2 linked regions of the Mytilus edulis genome follow. The protein of the gene in region 1 purifies or fractionates together with the protein of each later gene. This does not show direct contact. Links are inferred from orthologs where the notes say so. Each region holds a gene or a part of one and is shown in the gene's direction. Other genes may lie near its edges.

The links.
Region 2: the proteins of ribonucleases P/MRP protein subunit POP1-like (region 1) and ribonuclease P protein subunit p20-like purify together in Homo sapiens (affinity purification with mass spectrometry; 3 studies listed by BioGRID and IntAct, with this or other methods). This does not show direct contact. The link is inferred for Mytilus edulis from reciprocal best matches to the Homo sapiens genes POP1 and POP7.

What each region holds. Positions count from the first base shown.
Region 1 is NC_092344.1:124,479,946-124,491,746, reverse strand, and holds the start of ribonucleases P/MRP protein subunit POP1-like, read left to right. Parts: upstream 1-5,731; 5' UTR 5,732-5,874; coding exon 5,875-5,877; intron 5,878-11,801. Other genes in the region: 2-iminobutanoate/2-iminopropanoate deaminase-like, read right to left, coding at 1,226-1,331, 5,416-5,480. UniProt on the Homo sapiens protein: Component of ribonuclease P, a ribonucleoprotein complex that generates mature tRNA molecules by cleaving their 5'-ends. Also a component of the MRP ribonuclease complex, which cleaves pre-rRNA sequences.
Region 2 is NC_092346.1:9,582,603-9,595,095, reverse strand, and holds ribonuclease P protein subunit p20-like, read left to right. Parts: upstream 1-7,048; 5' UTR 7,049-7,124; coding exon 7,125-7,153; intron 7,154-11,045; coding exon 11,046-11,463; 3' UTR 11,464-11,480; downstream 11,481-12,493. Other genes in the region: protein ARV1-like, read right to left, coding at 2,093-2,212, 6,755-6,835. UniProt on the Homo sapiens protein: Component of ribonuclease P, a ribonucleoprotein complex that generates mature tRNA molecules by cleaving their 5'-ends. Also a component of the MRP ribonuclease complex, which cleaves pre-rRNA sequences.

The sequences.
Region 1 (11,801 bases):
ATAAATGTTTCAAAAAGGTATAACAAATTTGCCATTACTTATCAATGAAAGGGAGGTAATTATGAGCAATTTATATTTTAAAGATATTAAAATATTATATAATTCCTGAATCTTTTTCATAGTGAAATTATGATCTATAAACAACTCACTTTTACCCTTATTTCACTAACCTTATTTTATATATATTAAATAAATCATGATATTATTTCACAATTAAGATCTTTTAAATTACTTCTGGTTTTCTTTCATATGTTTCATGTTAATTTTTAAATCTTTTTAAAAGAATGATATTTACTTTAATATTTCAGGATATTATTTTCAATTATAATCTGTGAAATTATTTCCCATTATAATACATTTTTTTACCAACTTAAAAGCATAACTTCAAATACACTATTATTATTTCAAAGTATTTGTAAAGATTAAGTTTTTTTTAATAACTACTCAATAGTTTAACAACCCAGATAGAATTTCACGGCAAAGGAAAAAAATATAATAGCAAAAAATTTTCCTCCAGATAAAATAATGACAACAATTACTATGACATTTTTTCCACCGGATCAAATTTAACCAGGATACAGTTTTGCTTTACACATACCTGCTCTGTCTCTGGCACAAATCTGACGGACACAAGGACATGGTCCCTTCTACTGGTAACCTTGTATCTGGTGGTGTTGTACCAGAGACAGAACAGCTAGCAATGGCTAGTATGTGTAAAGCAAGAACATGGTTCCTTCTACTGGTAACCTTGTGTCTGGTGGTGTTGTACCAGAGACAGAACAGGTATGTACATGGATCCTTCTACTGGTAACCTTATGTCCGCCTGTTCTGTCTCTGGTACAACAACACTGATACAAGGTTACCAGTAGAAGCAAGGATTTGTATACTATACAAATCCTTGGTAGAAGGGACCATGTTCTTGCTTTACACATACCTGTTCTGTCTCTGGTACAACACCACCAGATACAAGGTTACCAGTAGAAGGGACCATGTTCTTGCTTTACACATACCTGTTCTGTCTCTGGCACAACACCACAAGATACAAGGTTATCAGTAGAAATGATCATGTTCATACATGTACATACCTGTTCTGTCTCTGGCACAACACCATCAGATACAAGGTTACCAGTAAAAGGGACCATGTTTATACATGTACATACCTGTTCTGTCTCAGACACAACACCACCAGATACAAGGTTACCAGTAGAAGGGATCATATACATACCTGTTCTGTCTCTGGCACAACACCACCGGATACAAGGTTACCAGTAGAAGGATCCATTCCTATTTGCCCAGAGAGGTACATAGTATTTTCAACCAGCACAGCCTGACTTTAAACAATAAAAGATATTTCAAAATAAAATAGTATGCATCAGAACAGTATTATGCACTGAGAAAGTTCTAATTAAAATATATTTTTTTTATACAAATTAATTGTAAGAATTTCACTACAAAGAACAGAAAGTAAAAAGAGTTTTTTTTCTTTGAATAAAGGAATGAATCCATTCCCTTTTCAAAATGAGAACAAGCCCAAAATTATATATTTGTGTTTCATGCCTCTGTGTATAAACTAATTTCTCATGAAAAAAGAGATCATTTCAGCTTCCCAACTTCCCAATTGTGAACATTCCATTCCTATGTATTAACATTCCAGCAGCGCCTGCATACAGAGTATATATCTCCAAATTGATATGATATTCCCTGGCCCAGGGAATATCTTATCAATTGAGAGATATATACTCTGTTTAGTGGCTTGTATTTCCTATCATGATTTCCTTGAAAGAGGATTGCTGCTCACAAGGAAGCTATTAGTTAAACCAAGTGTTCCAAATGGTGAAGTTGAAATCATCCCTTCGTAAATTTTACAGATGCCATCAAGAGTTGGTTGACCATTATGGAATAACCTTTTCACAGATGATATCGAATATGTTCCTTATGTTGTAATGACAATACCCCTCCCTTTTCATGAATGTGACTTCTTACCGATTTAGACTATTTAACAGATTTGTAATAACATAAGCAACACTATGGGTGCCACATGTGGAGCAGGATCTGCTTACCCTACTGGAGTACCTGAGATGACCCCAGTTTTTGGTGGGGTTCGTGTTGCTTAGTCTTCAGTTTGCTTTGTTGTGTCTTCTGTACTATTATTTGTCTGTTTGTCCTTTTATTTTTAGCCATGGCATTGTCATTTTATTTTTAGCCATGGCGTTGTCATTTTATTTTCAATCTATGAGGTTGACTGTCCCTCTGGTATCTTTCTATCCTCTTTTAAACTCTTATATAATTTAAGTCTTGAGAATTTTGATTAAGCACCTATAAAGGGGCTATCAGATTCCTGTTCACTGATATGACTCAAATTCTGCCATTTGATTTTTAACAAATAAAAACTTATATCCAATTTAAAAAAAGTCTATAATAATCAATTTACAATGCATGGGCTCAATAATATATGTATCAGTATTTCTTGTGCATTTTTGTCTACACTCCATCTACTGAACAATTGATATGTTCTAAGAAGACTGCATATGGTCGACAATATATTATTAACGTGATCAGAGGCGGGTTTAGGGCCCCCCCTTTTTGGGAAAAAATTTGGTTGCTTATATAGGAATCACTGAAGCGTGACTGGAGTGGGCCCCCTCTTAGGTCAGTCAGTGGGCCCCCACTTATGAAAATTTCTGGATCCACCACTGGTGATATATATAAAAAGATAGCAATCATGTCCAATCACATTGTTCTAGGTTAGTTTGATTCCATATTATGTCATGTACAAATGTATATCTTATTATCGCTATAACCTAGCCGTCTAAGAACGATTATTGTGGATCAAAGAAACCTAATAGGACTCATTGTAATTCCCTTTTATCATATATTTGCAGCTCTTGATCGAACCAATACATCAAAGTTATCATTAAGTATGGTTTTCATATAGATAAAAGGACAAGAAGGTTCACTTTCGGTCAATAATGGCCATGATTTTCAACTTGAAAGTATTTTTTTAAAGTGGCCATAATTTGGTTCTTAAATGGATCTATCTTTAAAAAAAGCCTGGCTTCCTTGACTTCCATGTTAGAACAAATCTCTTCATAAGAGTATATTCTTGGCTTCAAAATCATCACCTTTTAGATATAATGTCAAAAAGCTATGGTTTTGTGCATTTTTTCAGACTTAAAAAGCTTGAGGAAACCTATGGCCACAACCTAGAATCTATAATATTCTGTAACCAAAATTTGCTAATGATGAGATTGGTTACCTAGACATAGAAAAGTTCTGGATCATGGGTGGTGCCCAAAGTGTATAAATGCAAAAAAATATTAAGATTTATCTAAGATTTGACCAAATCTAACATTGCAACACAATAAATGTATACTGATTATGATGAAAGTATTTCATGTAAATAGTAATATCACAACTACATCTATGTGAAATTTGTAGTATTTTGGCTGGCTTAAAAAAACATCACAAACTTAAGGCTAATTCGAACACATTTAACCCTGATTCTTGAACTTAATCCTTTATATTTAGTAATTCTAATTTCTAGTTTATCTAATAACATAATGAATAAGGGAGATAATGCAAATTAAAAACTTAATACATAAATCTCTTTTAACACAAAATAAAATAGGCAAATTGTCAAACATTTTCATGTCATATATAGTCCAGTCAATCTAGATAGCATAAATTTGACCCTGACCTGAAAGTAATTGCAACAGATGATTTTTAAGTTTAATCTTTAGCATTATACCACAAAAATACACTGAAATAAGTCCCATTTAATCTTACTTGAGGAGGACTAAAAAAATCACCATTTAAAATTTGTCATTTGGAGATTTGCATTGAAAAGGGAGATACATGTAACTATTGCAAAACAGGCAGAAATAATCCAATATCAATAAAAATTGATACAAAATTATAACTTTACCGCTTCTATTCATCAGAATGCATTGATTCTTGATTTTTTAGCGGTCTTTAGAGTATAAAAAACAACTCCAAAGAGGTTTTAATATCTTTTATCAAGCTATAATCTAGATTTCGTAGTTCATATTATGGACTATTAATTAAATTTTTCAACCTGTCAAGATAAAGAATCTCAATTTTAATAAAAATAATTAAGCATGTATTCTTCTTTTTGTGGTTTAAAGTCTCTTTAGAAAAGTAAAATACTGAAAAAATATAATATATAGATATAAACAATACCAAATTTTCACATTATATTTTTAAAATGGTCACAAAGCTTCAAATTTGCGATTTCTTTAATGAAAAATGCTCAAAAAAAATTGAACTACCCATAACACTTCGCTTTTGTACATCTCATGAGCAGAGGATTATATGATTTAGTCAAATACAAACTTATAACCCCATCAATGTATCATACTTTACATAAATTTCAGGAAAAGCAACCAAAAACTGACCAAAAAAGACTCATGTTTGTTGAGTTATCTCCCCTTCCAATGTTAATTTCCATAGAAAATTAAAAATGCTTATTTTTTTCCCCCCTCAAGTTAGATTTAATGGGACTTTTTTTCTGTGTATATTAAGGGCATAATGCTATAGATTAGAACTAAAACATTTTCTGTTGCAAATTAGTTTGAGGTTAAATCTTAATTTGATCAGTTGATATTATACCACGACTCGGTCACTTTTTAAAGACTCTGAGACCACTTACTTTACAGCATCACTAGATGAAATGGACTCCTATGAATCATTGATTACCATGATTACAGACCAAATAATGTAGAAAAAAAAAAATTAAAAAAAAGATTACAGGACTAAAGGGTTTGTATTCAATCATTGGCTTTTAGGGAGCTACCATTTTATTTTTATGGTGGGGGTGGGGGGTTGGCTAGGATGAAAAATTATGTCCTGCATTTTTTTTAGCTTTAATCTCTGTCCTGCCTTTTTATTTTTCACTCTGTTCGAACCTGCCTTTTTTTTTACCTAAATTGTTGTCCTGACTTTTTTTCTTTTGCAAGTGTCTCATCCTGCCATTTTCTTTACTCAAAACTCCTGACCTGCCTATTTTTTTCAAATTTCATCCATTTTGGGGCCCTTTATAGCTTGTTGTTCGGTGTGAGCCAAGGCTCCGTGTTGAAGGCCGTACTTTAACCTATAATGGTTTACTTTTTAAATTGTTATGTGGATGGAGAGTTGTCTCATTGGCACTCACACCACATCTTCCTATATGATATATCTATTAACAAGAATGTGTTTACTTTTAAGTTAAACTTCCACCTGGAATTCAGTAACTTAATAACAAGGATACTCAGACCAACAATGTTATCAGAGTAACTTGTGAAAACAGCAAATTATAATATTTAATAAAAGTATAAAGGTTAATAAGTAAAATTGCTCAGCCTCAGGTGACCAAAGGTGCACATTGAGGTTTTTCAAATATTCAGCAAAGAGAATCACCTGTATGGTCCAATAGCAGCTGGAGCCTTTACTGTCTTTATTATCTTTCTTACAATTCCTGCCATATTTCAATGTGTTTGGTCAGCTCAGTTTAATTGTTTGTCCTTGTCATATGGGAGGTAATCCAGGAATAAAACGGTTCTTATGAAGCGCGATCCTGAGCATTGATCTGTTATTTATTTAAGTTCATGCCACATGTTTACATTTGGTTTTGTAAACTAAGATTTTTTTTATAATAATGGTTTTCATTTTCTGGTCATAGCATATGTTTTAAACGATGACATTATATCTTTGGTGGTGAAATAATATATCATTTATTCCGGAAGTGAATCGTCTGTCGTGTACAATAAAATGTCTGCGCCCATTAGAAACATGTACAAAAAGATGTAAGCGGATTAAAGTTGGTCAAATATAGTGAATTAGATTTGTCAAGCAGAAAACAATACTCTTTACAGGACCATGGTATGATTTAACATGTTTGTTTTATGTATTTTAAGGAAAAATACCTCAAATATAGTAGATAGTTACTGGTATTAGGTCCGTTCGCGCCCAATACAATACAATTCCTCACAAAAGACTTCTCTACAAACTAAAACATTATGGCATTGATGACAACACCTTAAAATGGATAGAAGATTTTCTCACATCTCGGACACAAACAGTGATCATTGATGGTGTTCAGTGAAGACAAAATAAACGTAACATCTGGTGTTCCCCAAGGAACAGTTTTGGGTCCGATCCTTTTCCTTGTATACATAAATGACTTTAACGAATACATCAAACACAGTACCCTCAGATTATTTGCAGATGATAGCATAATTTATAAAACAATACGAAAGAAAGAAGACACACAAAAACTGCAAGAAGATCTCACATCAGCTGCAAAATGGGAGAAGGACTGGCTCATGTCATTCCATCCAGACAAGTGCTCAGTCCTTCAGATAACAACTAAGAAAACCCCATTAAATTTTGACTATACTCTCCACCAACATGTACTTCAAAAAGAAACATCCACAAAATATCTTGGAATAACTATACAAACTGATCTCAAATGGAACAAACATGTAAACAATATCACAGCTGCAGCCACACAAAAGCTGAACTTTATTAAAAGAAATCTAAAAGTCAACTCAAAAACAGTCAAAGAAAAAGCATACATTGCACTAGTAAGACCAAAGCTAGAATACAGCAGCTGCGTCTGGGACTCGCACACCAAATCTCAAACACACCAACTTGAGATGGTCCAGCGCAGAGCAGCAAGGTACACCTGCAACAGATACCATAACACCAGCTCAGTCACTGAAATGCTACAAACCGCATCATTTTCCTCTACAAAATTATACATCATCTTGTTGCCATATATCCGACAGACCTACTTACACAATCTGATACAAGAACACGACAACATTCACATATTTACTCTTTCAGACCCATACAAACCACTAAAGACTCATACAAGTACTCATTCTACCCTAGAACAATCTTGCAATGGAACCTTCTCCCAGTAGCTGCAGTTCAATGTACTACTCTTGAAAGCTTCCAAGAACAGATTCCAATATCTGTTCTCAATAAACATTTAAATAAATTCCACAATGTATATAGTTTTAACCAAAATGTATAGTACAAAAACAGAAGAAAAAGAAGTTATAAATGTTGAAATTTTTATTTTTATTTTTGTATTTTTTCACTGTAAATAAAATTTATATCCACGCACGCGTGGCATAGTAAAATCAGTGCCCGGCACGTTATCATCAGTATGTTGATGGAGTGCTGAATTATAAAGAAGAAGAAGAAGAATACACTTTCGCACCCTTCATGTTCGCACCTCGCGGGGTGCACGTTCGCTCTCTACATGTTCGCGCCCAATTTTAATTCAAATTCCAGTTGAATTAGAATATAGGGGTAAAATGCAGTTTTTGGCTTATAACTCAAAAAACAAAGCATTTAGAGCAAATCTAAATTGTTTATCAGGTCAAGATCTATCTGCCCTGAAATTTTCAGATGAATCTGACAATGCGTTGTTTATAGGTTGTTGCCCCTGAATTGTTTATTTTTATGAATTTTTGCTGTTTAAGAGATAATTGTATTGTATTTGAAGCTTTAAGGACGTCCATCGGTAGTTTTATTGTCGCAAATTTAGTTTACCTGGCGACGCTGAGCGGAGACAGGTAAACTCGTATTTGCGACAGTAAAACTACCAATGGACGCCCGAAAAGCTTCAAATACAATACAGTTATCTCTATTCTAATGCAAAACAAGTTTATAATTAAATTTCAATCATTATTTCAGTGTAAAATCTTCATAAAAGAAAATTCCGTGAAAAAATGTTATCTTTTTTGGTCCCTACACTAGGGGACGTCATAGGTATGCTTCCGGCGTCAAACATAAACACCAGGCTTTTTCTGGCTTTTGTGCCGCTTCAGAATGTAATAAAATTTGTTAAAAAGAAGATGTTTAGGCGCAATAAGTGAGTTTTTATGCAGTTAAGCTGCATTATGCGAGCACCCTAGATTTGTGTTCTACCCAATAAATGCTGAAATACTTGCCATTGTTATTATCTAGCTCGCTACTATGTTATATATAACTAATTGAACACATTTTTAATACTTTTTATTCTGGATTACAAAAAATATGACAAGAAAAACCTTGAATGATCGTCGATTTATCCAAAAGTTTTAAAGTTACACATAGGAAGTAGTGCTTATTAAGAATCCTTGTGTAGTTCATTATGACTTGTGCTTTTAGCTAAGATGTCAAAGAACAATTGTATGAAATATTTAATCGCCGAAAATCTCTTAAGACAAGTAGTTTAGATTTTCCAAATGACAAAAGTCGTAGGAATATTGTTTGTCATCAATACGTAGTACAACTACGTCAGTAGTCTATTATATAATAAGTTCAACTGTTCATGCTGTTGGCGGCAATTTCAAATTAGAAAAAGAAATTTTTCGTAGCTTTTCAATTTGGAGGCAAGACTAGTGTGCAAATTATCGGTGGTCCGAGGTCCGCGACCTTCCACTTTTGCAAGCGGAATTTCGAATAGGATAGTTGGTTTCTAGCTACGCCCGACGTAGTCACCTTCCACTTGAAAGAAAACAAGAAATTACTTTGCAAACCTTTTCACCATGTTCACCAAAGTCTCCAATTAAACGAGCTAAAAACTTATTTTTATCATTATTAGTCATGACAGCGATGTTCATTTTGTTCAACCGCTAGCTTTATGCAGAAAATCTCCGACAAATATTGTATAAATTCGAGTAAAATCCTATCTGATTGACACAAACAACATTGTAAACACATACCAATGGCGGCCGTGAAGACCAAATTTTAATATCGGATCCGATTCCGGAAGCGGATAAGGGTAATTCCGGGTTTGGCGATCATTTACAAAATAAATCCAAGCAGGTGAAACAACACATCTATGCATGGTAAATTAATGAATATAAACACTAGAATTGTAAACCAAAAGATATATGTAAAAGAAAGAAAAATCAGAAAAATATTTTATTCAGAAACTCAAAATTACTTTTTGACAAATTTTTAATTTAAAAATCCAATACAAAGTGACAGCTGGGAACAGTATATCTAACAATATACATGTTCATGGTCACAGTCTAAATTTTCTTTATAAATGATAAATGATAATGCATGTGAGATGCTTTTAAAGTGTTAACATATTACTGCAATTTCGAAGGGTTATTTGTTTTTCTCAATTTTGAAGGGTCAATTAAAGTAGCTGAAAGTTTCTTTCTTTATTTTCACAAATAATGCAACTATATTATATATACCTTAATGTAAGTAAATCATATGATATATAGGTGGCATTCTTTGAGCCACTCTACCCCCTCCTGTTTGATAACTTGGAAACGGTCGAGCTCCCCACCCCTAAACCATATGAGGGGCAGATCCAGGATTTTAGGTTAGGAGAGGCGCAAACTTAAATGTTTGCCGAGCAGAGCGAGGCTAAAAAAATTTGAGGTAAGAACTATTAAGCTAAGAACAACCCATGCTTTGCAAATTTAAGGGGTGGGCAAGCCCACAACCCTCCCCCCGTCTGAATCAACCCCTGCATATATTCAAGTATAGGACAATATAATAAATAAAAAATGAAATATAGGGGAAGTCCCTGGAGTTACCTCACCCCCTCCTGTTTGAGAACTTGGAAACGGTCGAGATCCACACTCCTTAACCATATATATTCATGTTTGTGACAATATGAAAAATCAAATGAAATATAGGAAGAGTCGCTGGGGGTCACCCCACCCCTCCTGTTTTTTAGAATTTAAAAATGGTCGAGATCCCCACTCCTAAACCATATATATTCATGTATGGGACAATATAACAAATCAGATGAAATATAGGGGGAGTCCCTTGGGTCACCCCACCCCCTCCTGTTTGAGAATTTGAAACCCGTTGAGATCGCCACCCCTTAACCATATATATTCATGTACGGGACAATATAACAATTCAAATGAAAGATAGGGGGAGTACCTGAGGTCACTGTTCACCCTCCTGTTTGAGAACTTGGAAATGGTCAAGATCCTTACCCCTAAACCATATATACTCATGTATGGGACAATATAAAAAATCGAATGAACTATAGGGGAAGTCCCTGTGGTCACCCCAACCCTCCTGTTTGAGAACTTGGAAACGGTCGAGATCCCCACACCAAAACAATATATATTCATGTATGGGCCAATATAACTAATTAAATGAAATATAGGGGGAGTCCCTGGGGTCACCCTACCCCTCCTGTTTGAGAACTTGGAAACCAATGAGATCCCAACCCCTAAACCATACAGTGTATATATTCATGTATGGGACAATATAACAAATAAAATGAAATGTAGGGGAAGTCTCTAGGGTCACCCTACCCCCAGTGGCGGATCCAGAAATTTTCATAAGTGGGGCCCACTGACCGACCTAAGTGGGGCCCGTTCCAGTGGTTCCCTATATAAGCAACCAATTTTTTTCCCAAAAAAGGGGGGTGGGGCTGCCCCCCTGCCCCCCCTAAATCCTCTGCCTACTTTGAGAACTTGAAAACCGTTGAGATCCCCACCCCTAAATTATATATATTCATATGTATGGGACAAAATAACAAATCATTTACATTTACTATGGGCAGGTCAGTCAGACCTCACCTTTGATCCCTGTTGTAGTGAACATTTGTCTGATTCGTGTCTCATAACTTTTGTACTATAGAACACAAACTCAGTTTTCTTTCCAGGGAAACCAGTCCATTCATACTATTACATGTTCATACTAAGTCAAATTGAACTTCTAGCAGTCAAATAAAACCAAGGTTAACTACCAAGTAGAACAACTGCAATCATTGGGAACTTGTACCACTGCAGACTCACCATAAAAAATATACATTGATATATGCATTGCTTTTGAAACCTTGATAACATGTAAATTATTTGCCTTACTAAATAAATCATTAGATAAACATGAATGTACTATATATGAATGTTTAATGTTGAGGCAACATTGCCACAGTTTTCATAATTACGGTTGCCTTGGTTTTTGGTTAACTGCCTTCAGCGCTTACAGCGCTTTGATTTGTTTATTATAGTAGAAATAACATGCCGATACATTCCGAAATTTAAAATGTCGGCTTCCTTAGTTACAGACAGGGAGATAGAGAATTTTACGCTTGCTGTCATCCAATCAGAACAATTGTTACAAATTAATTGCATTAGAATTTTTGTTATTATCTTGAATATTATAGATAGAGATAAACTGTAACAGCAATAATGTACAGCATAATAAGACCTCAAAGTAAGTCAACATGACCAAAATGGTCAATTGACCCCCTAAGGAGTTATTGCCCTTTATAGTCAATTTTAAACAATTTTCATAAAATTTGTAAATTTTCACTAACATTTTCCACTGAAACTAACTGGGCCAAGTTCATTATAGATGGAGATAATTGTAAGCAGCAAGAATGTTAAGTAAAGAAAGATCAACATACACATCAATATCACCAAAACACAATTTTGTCATGAATCCATCTGTGTCCATTGTTAAATATGCACATAGACCAAGGTGAGCGACACAGGCTCTTTAGAGCCTCTAGTTTTAAAAACATTTTGGTAATTTTTTAAAAGAATTTTGTGATAGTTTTGTTTGTTATTCTGTGTAAACTAGCTTTCTAAATGCTGTATATTTAGTGAACTCCTTTAATTAGATAATCATCTATTTTTGTTGAAGGATATATTTGATTACATTTAATTTAATCCTGTGAGCTGTATATTTGCTTACGGAATAAAGAATTAATTATTAATTAATCAAGTTGTTAAAATTAATTAGTTGCAGATCTGTATTAGACTTTAATGGTTTGTGACAAATGAAAGAAAAAATATTTGGATATATATATAATTATA
Region 2 (12,493 bases), on another chromosome or scaffold:
AAAAACTGAACTAATTACAAACTTTAACGAATTGTTGACGCCTGTCAGAAACAGCACGCCTTAATTCGCGACTTCATCGAGGAAAAAAAAGATGTTGGAAAGACCTTAATATTACATTTGACTATCAACACTGCATATTAAAATGAAACCAAATAATTCGCAAATGACACTACGTTATTGTCCCCCTGTAAGTCTATTGAAAACACACACATGCTGGACGATGTTGATTGCGATCGGAATACGGGTTAGTCAGCTATATATTCTTAAAGACCGCATGTTGATTTCCAAATTTTGAATAACTTTATTTGCTGTGTCATAAAATACATCAACAATCTCTCTCCTTTTATTTACCTATATTAACTTATCTATCTCGGCTAACTTGTATTGAAATAAAGATACCACCCACACCTCACGATCCGATAGCTACTTCCTCGTTTCTTCGTGTTTACCGAAACCAATCATTTCATCACGAACGTTCAGAAAGAAGGCTAAATTAGACGCTTCGCGTAGGAAAAGTGCCATGTTCAACTCTGCCTCATTTTTCAAGAGTTTTTGTCAGGTTTCTTTAAGCTAAGAAAGTTCACTTATAAGGAACCATTTTTTGGCCACTACCAACTTTTTTTCTATTTATGTGCAATTTTTAGCCCTGCATCCTAGTCAGTCTTAAACCCACCTATCATTAGAGAGAAGGGAATAAGGGAATTTGACAAAAAGACCACAACCTGACCCAAAAGGCCACCAATGGGTATTCAGCACAGCAAGAAAAATGCAAAATGCGAAAACATGTAGAAGAGTTGAACATTTGTGTGAGATTTCGTTCCCTCTTATATCCTTTAGCCATTATGGAATTAACAAACACACAGTTTGGATGAAATTCGAATCCGATGTTAAAATGGTTAAAGAAGAAACTAAGCAAAAGATAAAATAACAAAAATACCGAACTCTGAAAAAAAACCAAGCATTTTCTTATGTCGAAAATGATAGATGAAACCTTATTTAATAGCTAGCTAAACCCCTCACCATTTTATTGACAACGACGTGTGAACAAAACAAAGAGACATTTTAATTTTAACATAAAAAATTGTGGTATACATATAGCAGTCAAAATTGTGTTATAACCTTGTCAAAAAGACATGGCTCAACAAAAATGAACAAAGGATTACAAGCAGTCACTAAAAATGTCATCTTTAATTATCATTATATCGTTACTATCTCCCTTGTGAACTATTTTATTTTTGTTAACTTGTTTTCGTCCTGATTACGCAATACATTATGACACTGGACCTTAAGGTGGTACCCAACACTTTAACTAAAATTAATTTGGCTCGTTTAATTTTCTTAACATTTTGACAAAGTATTTACTTTGTCCCTTTTGCAAAAATATAAAAATTTCAACAAATTTGAACAATGATTTAAAAACAACAAAAATAGCTAAGCTCTGCCAAGTGTTTCGACCGCGGTGAAAGACAGACATTTTAACTTGCTAAAGGCCCAATACGTCCCCTCCATGAGATGTTGCAAGGATTAATTAACATGCAACAATCACGACACTTTCCTAATAAGAAGCATTAAGAAGGGAGGTGGCTTCATAATCATACATCTCGAAAAGCTAAACAAACGCCCCTCTTGATCATGGGGTTTACTTTCGGATTCGAGGATTCCATGTTACCCTATCTTTATTAACTAGTCAACCCTTGTAGTTTCAATAGTTATCAAGTCACTGATTCGTTCAGAGACCAAACAAATGATCACCCGAACTCGAAGCAAGCATACTACCACTATGACACCAAGATGTGCCAGACATACAGAATAATCTGTTTAAATATTTGTCGATATGATATATTTAAATTAAAGTATAACTTTGAAGTAAAATGAGATGTAAGCAAAATCAGAAACACAAGCAGACAAAAATAACATGGTCTAACGCGCGTCTGGTGCAAATATAAAATTCCAATCCTAGTATCTCTGATGATTTTATTGGTCATTTGCTTCAAATATGTCCTTCTTATATATGATATGGAAGATCTGTTTTAGCTTAAACAGCTTTAATCAGAATCAACAATGAAGTTTTAGGTGTTGTTTAGTAACTTACCTGGGTTGAGTTATTGCTGAGAACATGCTGAAATGCCTCTCTCTTCAACAGTAAAGCATCAAGACAGATAATGACTGGGTCAAACTCTATATATTTGTCTACAAGTTCTTTACAATGGATCTAAAATTTAAAAATGCGTATATATATAAAATAATTCCATTTGCATTTTCATTTTCATAAAATACGTAATTTTGGCTTGGAAATGCGTAAATTACTTTTTTTGATCTCACTCGTGCAAACCTCTTGGTCCATTGCCACAATTTGGCTACACTTTATTATGTCCTTTTTGTATGATAAGCTCTTCTACTTTTCAAACAGTTCGGATTTTTTGTCCACAGTATCACTGAAGAGTCGTTTATTGTCGAAATCCGCAGCTTGTGCAGTGAAATTGGTACCGTTAACTTAATGTTATTTGTTTACATAAGTCATTGAAAAACTGGTCATTATCGTGATACATGGACTGACCTACGGGTAGTCTATGTTTCACGATAATAAGCAGTTCTTCAATAACTATTATGTTTATTTCATTGAGGAACTATGTTTTTAAAAATTCTCATAAATTGAGAATTGCTACTGAGGCTTACATGTATACTAAAACACTGTCCGCCCTTCATTGATATTTGCCAGGGATTTACTCGCTCTTGAAAGGTCCTTTTGATAGTCTGAAGAACCAAACTGTTCTTGAAGCCTTGGCTGTTGTCTAATCAATGCGAGTGTATCATGATAGATCTTGGCTGATTGTCAACAGTATTTGCTAACATTGCATGTCTCTATTGTGTGGCCATAAGGATGTATATGGTATTGATTATACTACGCGCATATACCCTTTATCGCTATGTGGATAGAAATCATTTGCCAGATTACCGCCACTTTTCCCATGGTTCTGGTTGGATGTTCGTGTCGGATATTAACTTTGTTTCTATGTTCTTGGGGATCAAACAGTCATCATCAAACTGTTTAAAAAAAGAACCCAAATTTCAGTTAGTTCATTAATTAAAAAGTCAGAAATTTGAGAATCATTTTTAAAAGTAAGAAATAATAGGGTCATATGACGTTGACATGCTCCCTCTACTTGGACATGTCGCCTTCTTCTGCGTATGAAGTTACCATATCATTTCAGGACTGAACAGCTGATTCTACAGTTTTGGAACTTGAGAGGAACAATCTTTGATGTGGTAACTTGACGGAGGTTTTCCTAAAATCAAGTATTACGGCATCTGTCTTATGTAGACGAAACGCGCGTCTGGCGTACTAAATTATAATCCTGGTACCTTTGATACCTATTTACACCACTGGGTCGATGCCACTGCTGGTGGACGTTTCGTCCCCGAGGGTATCACCAGCCCAGTAGTCAACACTTCGGTGTTGACATGAATATCAATAAAGTGGTAATTTTTATGAAACAAAACTTTGAATTTTTCGAAAAACTAAGGATTTTCTTATCCCAGGCATAGATTACCTTAGCCGTATTTGGTACAACTTTTTGGAATTTTGGATCCTCAATGCTCTTCAACCTTTGTACTTGTTTGGTTTATAAATGTTTTGATATGAGCGTCACTGGTGAGTCTTATGTAGACGAAACGCGCGTCTGGCGTACTAAATTATAATCCTGGACTTTTCCTGGTACCTTTGATAACTTATATATATTGAACGTCTTTTGCAAAGTCTTGGATGGTTGCGATAAGCTATGTTTCACTAAAACGTCTACTCAAGAATCTATTCTGAGCATCAATAAGGGATTTTTTTGTAAGTGTTGTCACTGATGATGCATTTGTAGACGAAACGATCATCTGGCGCAAACACAAATTTCATTTCTGGTTTCTATGATGAGTTTATTTATGGTAGAATGTAGAATATGCCCAACAACAATATTGGAACATGAAAGTCAATGAAACCGGCATGTTGATAGCAGCTTTGCTCTTGTTTCCATTTTTAAGACATGTCTAACTTGTCTTACTATCCAGATGTCTAGAACCGTGTAAAGGTTGATTGAAGTCTGGTGTATTAGATAAAACACTGGGCAGCTCCTTCAAAAAAATAGCTGGTACTTAGTCGGGTCCTTCAGCTTTGTGTGGTTTATAAAGATTTTTGAGAAGCGTGTACACTAATGTAATTGAGCCATATGTGGAAATGTGCTTGGTCCCTTGTCCTTCTCTTGGGAATACAGACTTGAAGGATGTTTGTGTTTGTGATTTGTTCGCTTTGTACATATGTGAGGCCTTCTTGGACTCCTGCAATGTGCGATTGTGCTACTTGCTAAAAGACCAGAAGGTCTTAGTGTTACAGTTTGGTTTTGAACGTATGAGGTCACGGTCATAGTTCAAAAAGTCGTGTGAGCTTGACGAATACTCATCTAGAAATTTAACATTTAATGATTGTAGCGTTGATACACTTATTTTGCTTCTTGCTTTTTTTTTTGTTCTCTCTCTTATTGTATTAGTTTTGGGTAGTTGTTAGAGATGACAGGAATGTAAAGTAGTTCAATTATCTGTCAATCTAAAAATGCACTCTCTATATATACTTGATTAGCATAGTCCATCTATCATTGATCATCATTTGCTCGTGCATATTAATCTTCAACAACATGGCGGAAACTTCTTTACGGCTTTCGTTTTTTTCGAAGTGACAGATGTCAGCTGATTTGTCAATCCAGCAAATAAATAACAACAATACAAGAGGAAAGAAAATACTAGACCAGATGTTTACAAGCCACCCCTGAGAGAGAGATTTAAAACACTGCCACCCATACTATAGGAAATAGCTATCATGACATAGTATTAGTGGACATATCAGCAAATGTCAAATATCAATTGCTAGACAGAGCCACCCTTGGGTGAATACCCAACTGAGACAATTGAGCAAACAGAAACCAAGAGCTAACTCCAAGGCAAAACACAACAACTCACCAAAGGACTGGAAAGTCAAACGGTATAAAAACATCAGAGCTGAACTTCAACGAGCGTCTAGACGAGCACATACAAAATGCATGCAAAATATAGTCTGTGGAGATTTAAACAAGAACCCAAAAAGATTTTGGTCATACATAAAGAGTAGGAAACAGGAATCTTCAGGTATAACAATTCTAAAAATAAAGATGGATACTACATAGCGACACACCAACAAAAGCTGCTATACTAAACAACCAATTCCATTCAATATACACCCAAGAAGACCTAAACAACATGCCAGATAAAGGGCCAAGCCCACATCCAACCACGAGACCAATAAAAATCAGTCGGAATGGTGTCACTAGACTACTTAGAGGACTAAGACCGTTTAAGGTAATTGGCCCAGATGACTGATTGACATACCAGCCTTCATTCTCAAGAATACTCCTGATCAACTATCATCTTACCTGACAAGACTATACCAACTGTCAATGGACCAGGGATCAGTACCAGAAGATTGGAGGTCAACCAACATAGTCCCAGTCTTTAAGAAAGGTAAAAAAAAACACAGCAGCAAATTACCGTCCAGAGTCCTTGACATCCATCACATGTAAGGTGCTAGAGCACATAATCCACAGTTCTATCATGGACCACTATGAACAAAACACCATACTTTGCAACGAACAACATGGGTTTAGAACCAAACGATTATGCGAATTCCAGCTGGTAATAACTATACACGAAATAGCTAAGAACATGGAGGACGGCGACCAGACAGACATCATCCTGATAAACTTCGCTAAGGCCTTTGATAAGGTGCCACATGCCAGACTACTTCATAAAATGGATTACTACGGAGTAAGAGGTTTCCAGATTCAATGGATAAAACAGTTTCTGTCCAACAGAACTCAGTCTGTCATTCTCGAAAACCACAAGTCGGACCCTCTTTACGTGATATCTGGAATACCCCAGGACACTTAGATGGGTCCCTTCCTCTTTCTGGTCTATATCAACGACCTCCCAGAAGCACCAACATCAAGTGCTCGACTGTAAGCTGATGACTGTAGATCTACTCTTCCGCTGCATTAGGAAAACAGAGGATGCAGACTTGCTGCAAAAAGACCTATTTAAATCTCGCTGGAAGAATGGGAACACAGACCAGCAGCTCGCTTTGTTTATAGTTGCTACCAGGACAACTCTCCTGAATATGTTACTAAGCTACTGGACCAACTTCAATGGGAATCACTGCTGCACAGACGACGGAAACAGAGCCTCGTGTTGTATAACAAGAACCAACACCAGTTGATTGCCATTGATCCAGCCAAATACTGCACAACAAGGGATAGTAGGACAAGGGACAACCACTAATGTAGACAAACTACTCCCACTCATTCTTCCCAAGAACAACTAGAGAATGGAATTAACTCCCCCAATATATAGTGGAGTCCGGATCACTAGAGGAATTCGGGTCCAGAGTGAATACCACCCCCTGGACCCAGCCACATCTGAAATACATTAATTGTAGACAGCAGGATAACATGTGTACATAGATGTAATTAAGATTAATATTTCATTGTAAATACCATCAAGTTTTGCCTGTCCTCCTGTCATTTTGAGATGCGCCCGAGTTTATTACACTTTAGTATAGAGTTGAAAAAGAAGAAGACATGTGAAATTGTGTTGCAACAAAACGAAGTTCATTATGTGATGCATTCAATGTTTGGGGTATGCTATGTGTCATATATTGTCTTTCTAAATATGAAATATTACTTACGCAGTGTTCCAGTTGTATTATATCTTTAGAGTAATGTCTATAAAGACTATTACACTTTGTTCCGCAGTTGATGCATTTCATTGTTTATAGCGGATGTTTACATTAGTAAAATAATAAACGATAGTTGTATGGACAGTCCGAATATCCGTATTTTTATTGTTCACGAATCGCATTCAATAAAAATACATATAACATTAATTGGTTATCAATATCTATACGATGAAATATGCATTATCTCAACATACAGTGACAACTTTATACATATTCCATGTTCATGCAATCCTATTTAACCCGTTTTTTCAACGGTTCTTTTCCGATTTAATTAATTTTTTACAATTGTTTTGGTATATCCGGTTCTTTAAAAACAAAAATGATTTCTGAAGAAGAAGCAAAGCCAAAGTAAGTAAGACTGTTATGTCGTTAACAAAACAGTCGATTAATCATTAGTTAATAACAGATAAGTTTAATAAGGCACTGCATTTTTTGAGGTGATCATGCAGCCAGAAATAGGCAGAATGTTAGGATGTATTCCATCAATCAGGAACATATATATAGATATACTGTTCCCAGCATCAATACACCTTATCGCTATACACCTTATCGCTATTTGTCCGCCATTGCTGGAAATCACACAGGTTCCCGTAAAATTTTGACGTCATAAAACAAAATGTCTGACGCCACAATGGAAAAGTGATTGTTGTTGACGTCAAAAGTTCAAGCGGACGGGTCAGCCGGGAATAGCGATAAGGTGTATTCCCGGCTGACCCGTCCGCTTGAACTTTTGACGTCAACAACAATCACTTTTCCATTGTGGCGTCAGACATTTTGTTTTATGACGTCAAAATTTTACGGGAACCTGTATGATTTCCAGCAATGGCAGACAAATAGCGATAAGGTGTATGTAATCCATTGATTGTAAAAATGGGTATCAGGTCCGTTCGCGCCCAATACACTTTCGCACCCTACACGTTCGCACCTCGCACGTTCGCACCCAATGTCCGTTCGCACTCTACACGTTCGCGCCCAATTTTAATACAAAATTCCAGTCGAATAATTGGAAAATCATGATTGTTGTTTTAAATTGCTTTGGTGTAAATACTGAATGTATTTATAGCTTGATATGAGTAAAGAGGGGGGATAGGACCTTTATCGGGACTCTGAATCGGGTGTTTTTAAGCTCGGGATTTCGGGATCCGGGAATCCTTTTTTTCGGATTTCGGGATTTCAGGATTTGCTTTATTTAAGTTCGGGACCTCGGGATTTCGTTTTTTCAAGTCCGGGATTTCGGGATCAAGACCCTTCCTATCCCCCCTCAGTAAAACATTGAAGATTTTAAACGAAAAACACAAAAGATAATTGTTTTTAACAGCTTGGTCCCTTTGATCTGAAACAATGAAACAATAAAATATAGCAATACACGAATTATAACCAAAACATGATAAAATTTATACAACACACAAAAACAAAAAAAAACCTAGTCAGAATCTCACTTTATTTTGAATCAAGTCAGTGAAACAAAGTTATAGCAATACCACCGTGTAGATTGCCACATGCGGGGTGTCGGCTATGTTTGACATGGGGTGGCAATTTTGAAGCGACGAAAAAGTAACAAATTAAACAAGGTAAGTTCAAGCATCAAAATTTCTTATTTTTAGAACTCTCAGTACCATATAATGTATTGCACGGAAGGAACCGCAACATAATCTATTTCCTGAAAGCAGAAGCAGTCGTTTTCAGTGCTTAGTTTTCTCAAACACCTCGCCCTAGTTTTCCGGGTTGCAGATTTGAGGCTTTATTTGCCAATTTCGGTATAAAAAACTACTTTACACAGCTAACCTCCATATCATTTATATAGAATTGTATTCGTCTCTTTGATTTATACCAAATACCAGTTTCTTGGTTAAAATTAATTGGTTTTAAAACTGTTATTCATCAAAATATAAAGTGTCGCTCGGGGTGTCAGATTTTGTGTCGCAAGGGGTAGAGGCTTGTCATAAAAAAGAATACATTTTCTTATAAATCGATCTCTATCTGATACTTTTTAATTCAAACACACCTACACTGTTATGATGACAAATTACAAACTTAAGGTATGTAGTTCTAGCTGGGCGATTATGAACGAAATAACTGTCTTGAATCATATTTTCTTGTAAACCTGTTCCGTTGTATATTTGTGTATAAGTCGTTGTTTTCTCATTGACAATTGTAGTATCATCGTCTTCAGGATTACTTGAAGTTGTGTTGTCATTCGCTGAAAAAGATGCCGGTGAGTGTTTCATTGGAGAAAGTGTTCTAATTCTTTTAGGAGTGATGGTTTTTGGCGGCGTGCATGAGTGCTTTTTAGATGAACCTGGTGATGAACTATGATGCATTTTTGCTGGTGGAGGCTTCTTATATTAAGGACTATTTTGTGATTTTCCACCATGTTTTGGTTTATTGAGCCATAGCCTTGCCTTTTTTTACCATGATAGTGACTGAAAAGGAAAAGAAATCGTTTACCAGCTTGGAAACTAAATATGTTGAGTCATTTTTTACTATGAATGAAATCAAAAGCACATGTTTTATAAGACCAAAAACAGGCAAAATGAAAAACCCTTATTTTGTCATGGTAAAGTAGATGTGAATGAAATCAAATCATATCTTTTATAAGACGAAAAACAGGCAAAATGAAAAATCCTATTTTGTCATGGTAAAGTAGATGTGTTTGAAATAAAATGTATCATATGAAGGCTAATTTACATACAAATATGTATTTTTTATGACAAGCCTCTACCCCTTTCGACGCAAAATCTGACACCCCGAGCGACACTTTATATTTTGATGAATAACAGTTTTAAAACCAATTGATTTTAACTAAGAAACTGGTATTTGGTATAAGTCAATGAGAGGAATACAATTCTATATACATGGTACGGAGGGTAGCTGTGTAAAGTAGTTTTTATACCGAAATTGGCATATAAAGCCTCAAAATCTGCAACACGGAAAAGTAGGGCGAGGTGTTTGAGAAAACTGAGCACTGAAAACGACTGCTTCTGCTTTCAGGAAATAGATTTTGTTGCTGTTCCTTCCGTGCAATATATTATATGATACTGAGAGTTCTAAAAATAAGAAATTTTGATGCTTGAACTTACCTTGTTACTTTTTCGTCGCTTCAAAATTGCCACCCCATGTCAAACATAGCCGACACCCCGCATGTGGCGTTCTACACGGTGAATACACTAACCAAAACATGATTAAGAGTTATTCAACACAAAATAAAACTTTGACAGAATCCCACTCATGACTTTATTTAGAAAGTATTATTATTTTTTTTAACAATACACTTTCCGAAACATGATTAAGATTTATTCAATACAAAAAAAAATGCTGTCTCACTTTATTTTGAGACAATGAAAACAATTATACTTATGAGAATACACTTGCCAAAACTTGATTACAAAGTTGTTAAACACAAAACCAATTAAAATTGGGCGCGAACATGTAGGGTGCGAAAGTGAAAGGGGGCGAACATGAGTGGGTGCGAACGTGAATGGGCGCGAACGGACCCGGATTCGTAAAAATGTGTACTCTCTTTTTCTCTTTTGATAAAAGTAAACTGTCCAAAAGATTCCAATCTTTTTTTTTGTAAAATGTTAGTAAACATAGTGTCACTGCTATTTTGTCTTTCTTTATTACTAATGGAAACATATACTGTACATTCCTTGATAAAATATTTATTCATTTGAGTTATCTCCCCTTAATATTTAACTTATTACTTTATATTTATTCATCAATAACAAAAATGTATTAACATGATTAACAGACATATAATTATAAAACTATAAAAAGACAACAACATCCGAGATTACTGCAATGCAATGCTTTATTCTGGTCTACATTGTACATGTTTCAGTACTTACAGTGGTGTCTTCAGGACAATTTTATGATACAAATGTAGGAAATAAGTGCTCAAGTACATAAAATACACCTTATCGCTATTTGTCTGCCATTACTGGATATCACACAGGTTCCTGTAAAATTTTGACGTCATAAAACAAAATATCTGATGCCACAATGGAAAAGTGACTGTTGTATGCGTCAAAAGTTCAAGCGGCCAGAGCAGCTGGGATTAGCGATTGTATGCGGTTCATATGGGGTTTCAAAAAGGTTAACAAGGCGTAATGTCACACTCTAAGAAATATAGTGTGTGATGTGTAGTAGTTATTTCACATAAAAAAACCGGTAGTCTTTATATTGCAAACAATTTTTGATGCATGTTCTTATCAAGTTTCTTACATTTTTATTATTTTAGGAGTAAATTTGCAGAAATAAAAGATTTAATAGATAAAGAGGAATTTTCTCTTCGTAAAAGATTGCCAAGAAAACTACCAAAGAGAAAAAATGATGTTTATGTGTCAAGAAGAACTAATTTCAAACAACAGCTTGAGAGATGTCATAAACTAATGAATTCTGGAAATGAGGTGTATATTCATGGCTTAGGTGCAGCTATAAACCGGGCAGTTAATCTTGCATTAGAAGTGAAAAAATCTTCTATAGGAAATGTGGAAACAGAAACACAGACCTCCACAGTGGAACTTGTGGATGACTTAGAACCTGAAACAGATGAACATGAACCAGAAATTTTCATTAGAAATAATTCAGCAGTTCATATAAAAGTGTTCAAAGTTACTGGGACTTCTGTGGAACCTGAACAAATACAGTTGAAATAATAAATTAATAAATCCTCTTTTTAATTCATTTAATTGCTAGTTTATAGATCTCACAATACAAGTCAAAAGCAAGAATGATTAAATAAATCAGAGCTAAACACCCAATCCATTTGTCAATTTCAGCTTTCAAAGTTCTAGTTCATGAATAGAAAAACCCAAGTTATTATCAAAAGTATGTGCTATCAACCCTTCTTGTACATGTAGCTTTCAAATGCATTGTTGACAATAATAAAAAAAAATGTTGCATAATTTATCTATTTTTCCAAATTTAGGAAGTCCACTTTCATTCTAAAAAAAGGACTAAAGAGGATCTGGATCCCCTTTAAATTTTGAATGGCTTGTTCCTTGCTCAGATATTGTTTATCCAGTATACAAACAAGTATAAAGAGTAAAACATGTATATGAAAGCTCTCATTAAGAATTCATATTTTCAAGAAATTTCTATTTTTAGTAACAGTGACATTAACCTTTGACCTGTTGACATAAAAATCGATAGAACTCTTCACCTTCCAAATAGTTTTCATCAGTGTGAACAAAAAAGAATACTTGGTATGATTGCCATTAAGACAACTCTCCACAAGAGACCAAAAGACACAGAAATTAACAACTATATGTCACTGTATGGCTTTCAACAATAAGGAAAGCCCATACCATAGTCAGCTATAAAAGACCCCGAAATGACAATGTAAAACAATTCAAACGAGAAAAATAACGCCCAAATTTATGTACAAAATTTAAACAAAAAACAAATATGTAATAGATATACAAAAAAAAACTCTGAATTACAGGCTCCTGACTTGGGACAGGCACACATACAAGCAGTGGTGTAACTATACAACATATACATGTAAGAACAAACTATAAAAATTAGTCGAAAAGGGCTTTACTCATCAGATGGATACAATTACAAAAATACACTAAGTACTGATGTGTGAGTACTCCAAGTTACTGACAGCTAGTTCAAAGCCACTAACAACTAAAAGAAAAATCATGCATCATAGACAAAATTATCAATCAAAATTGAGAATGG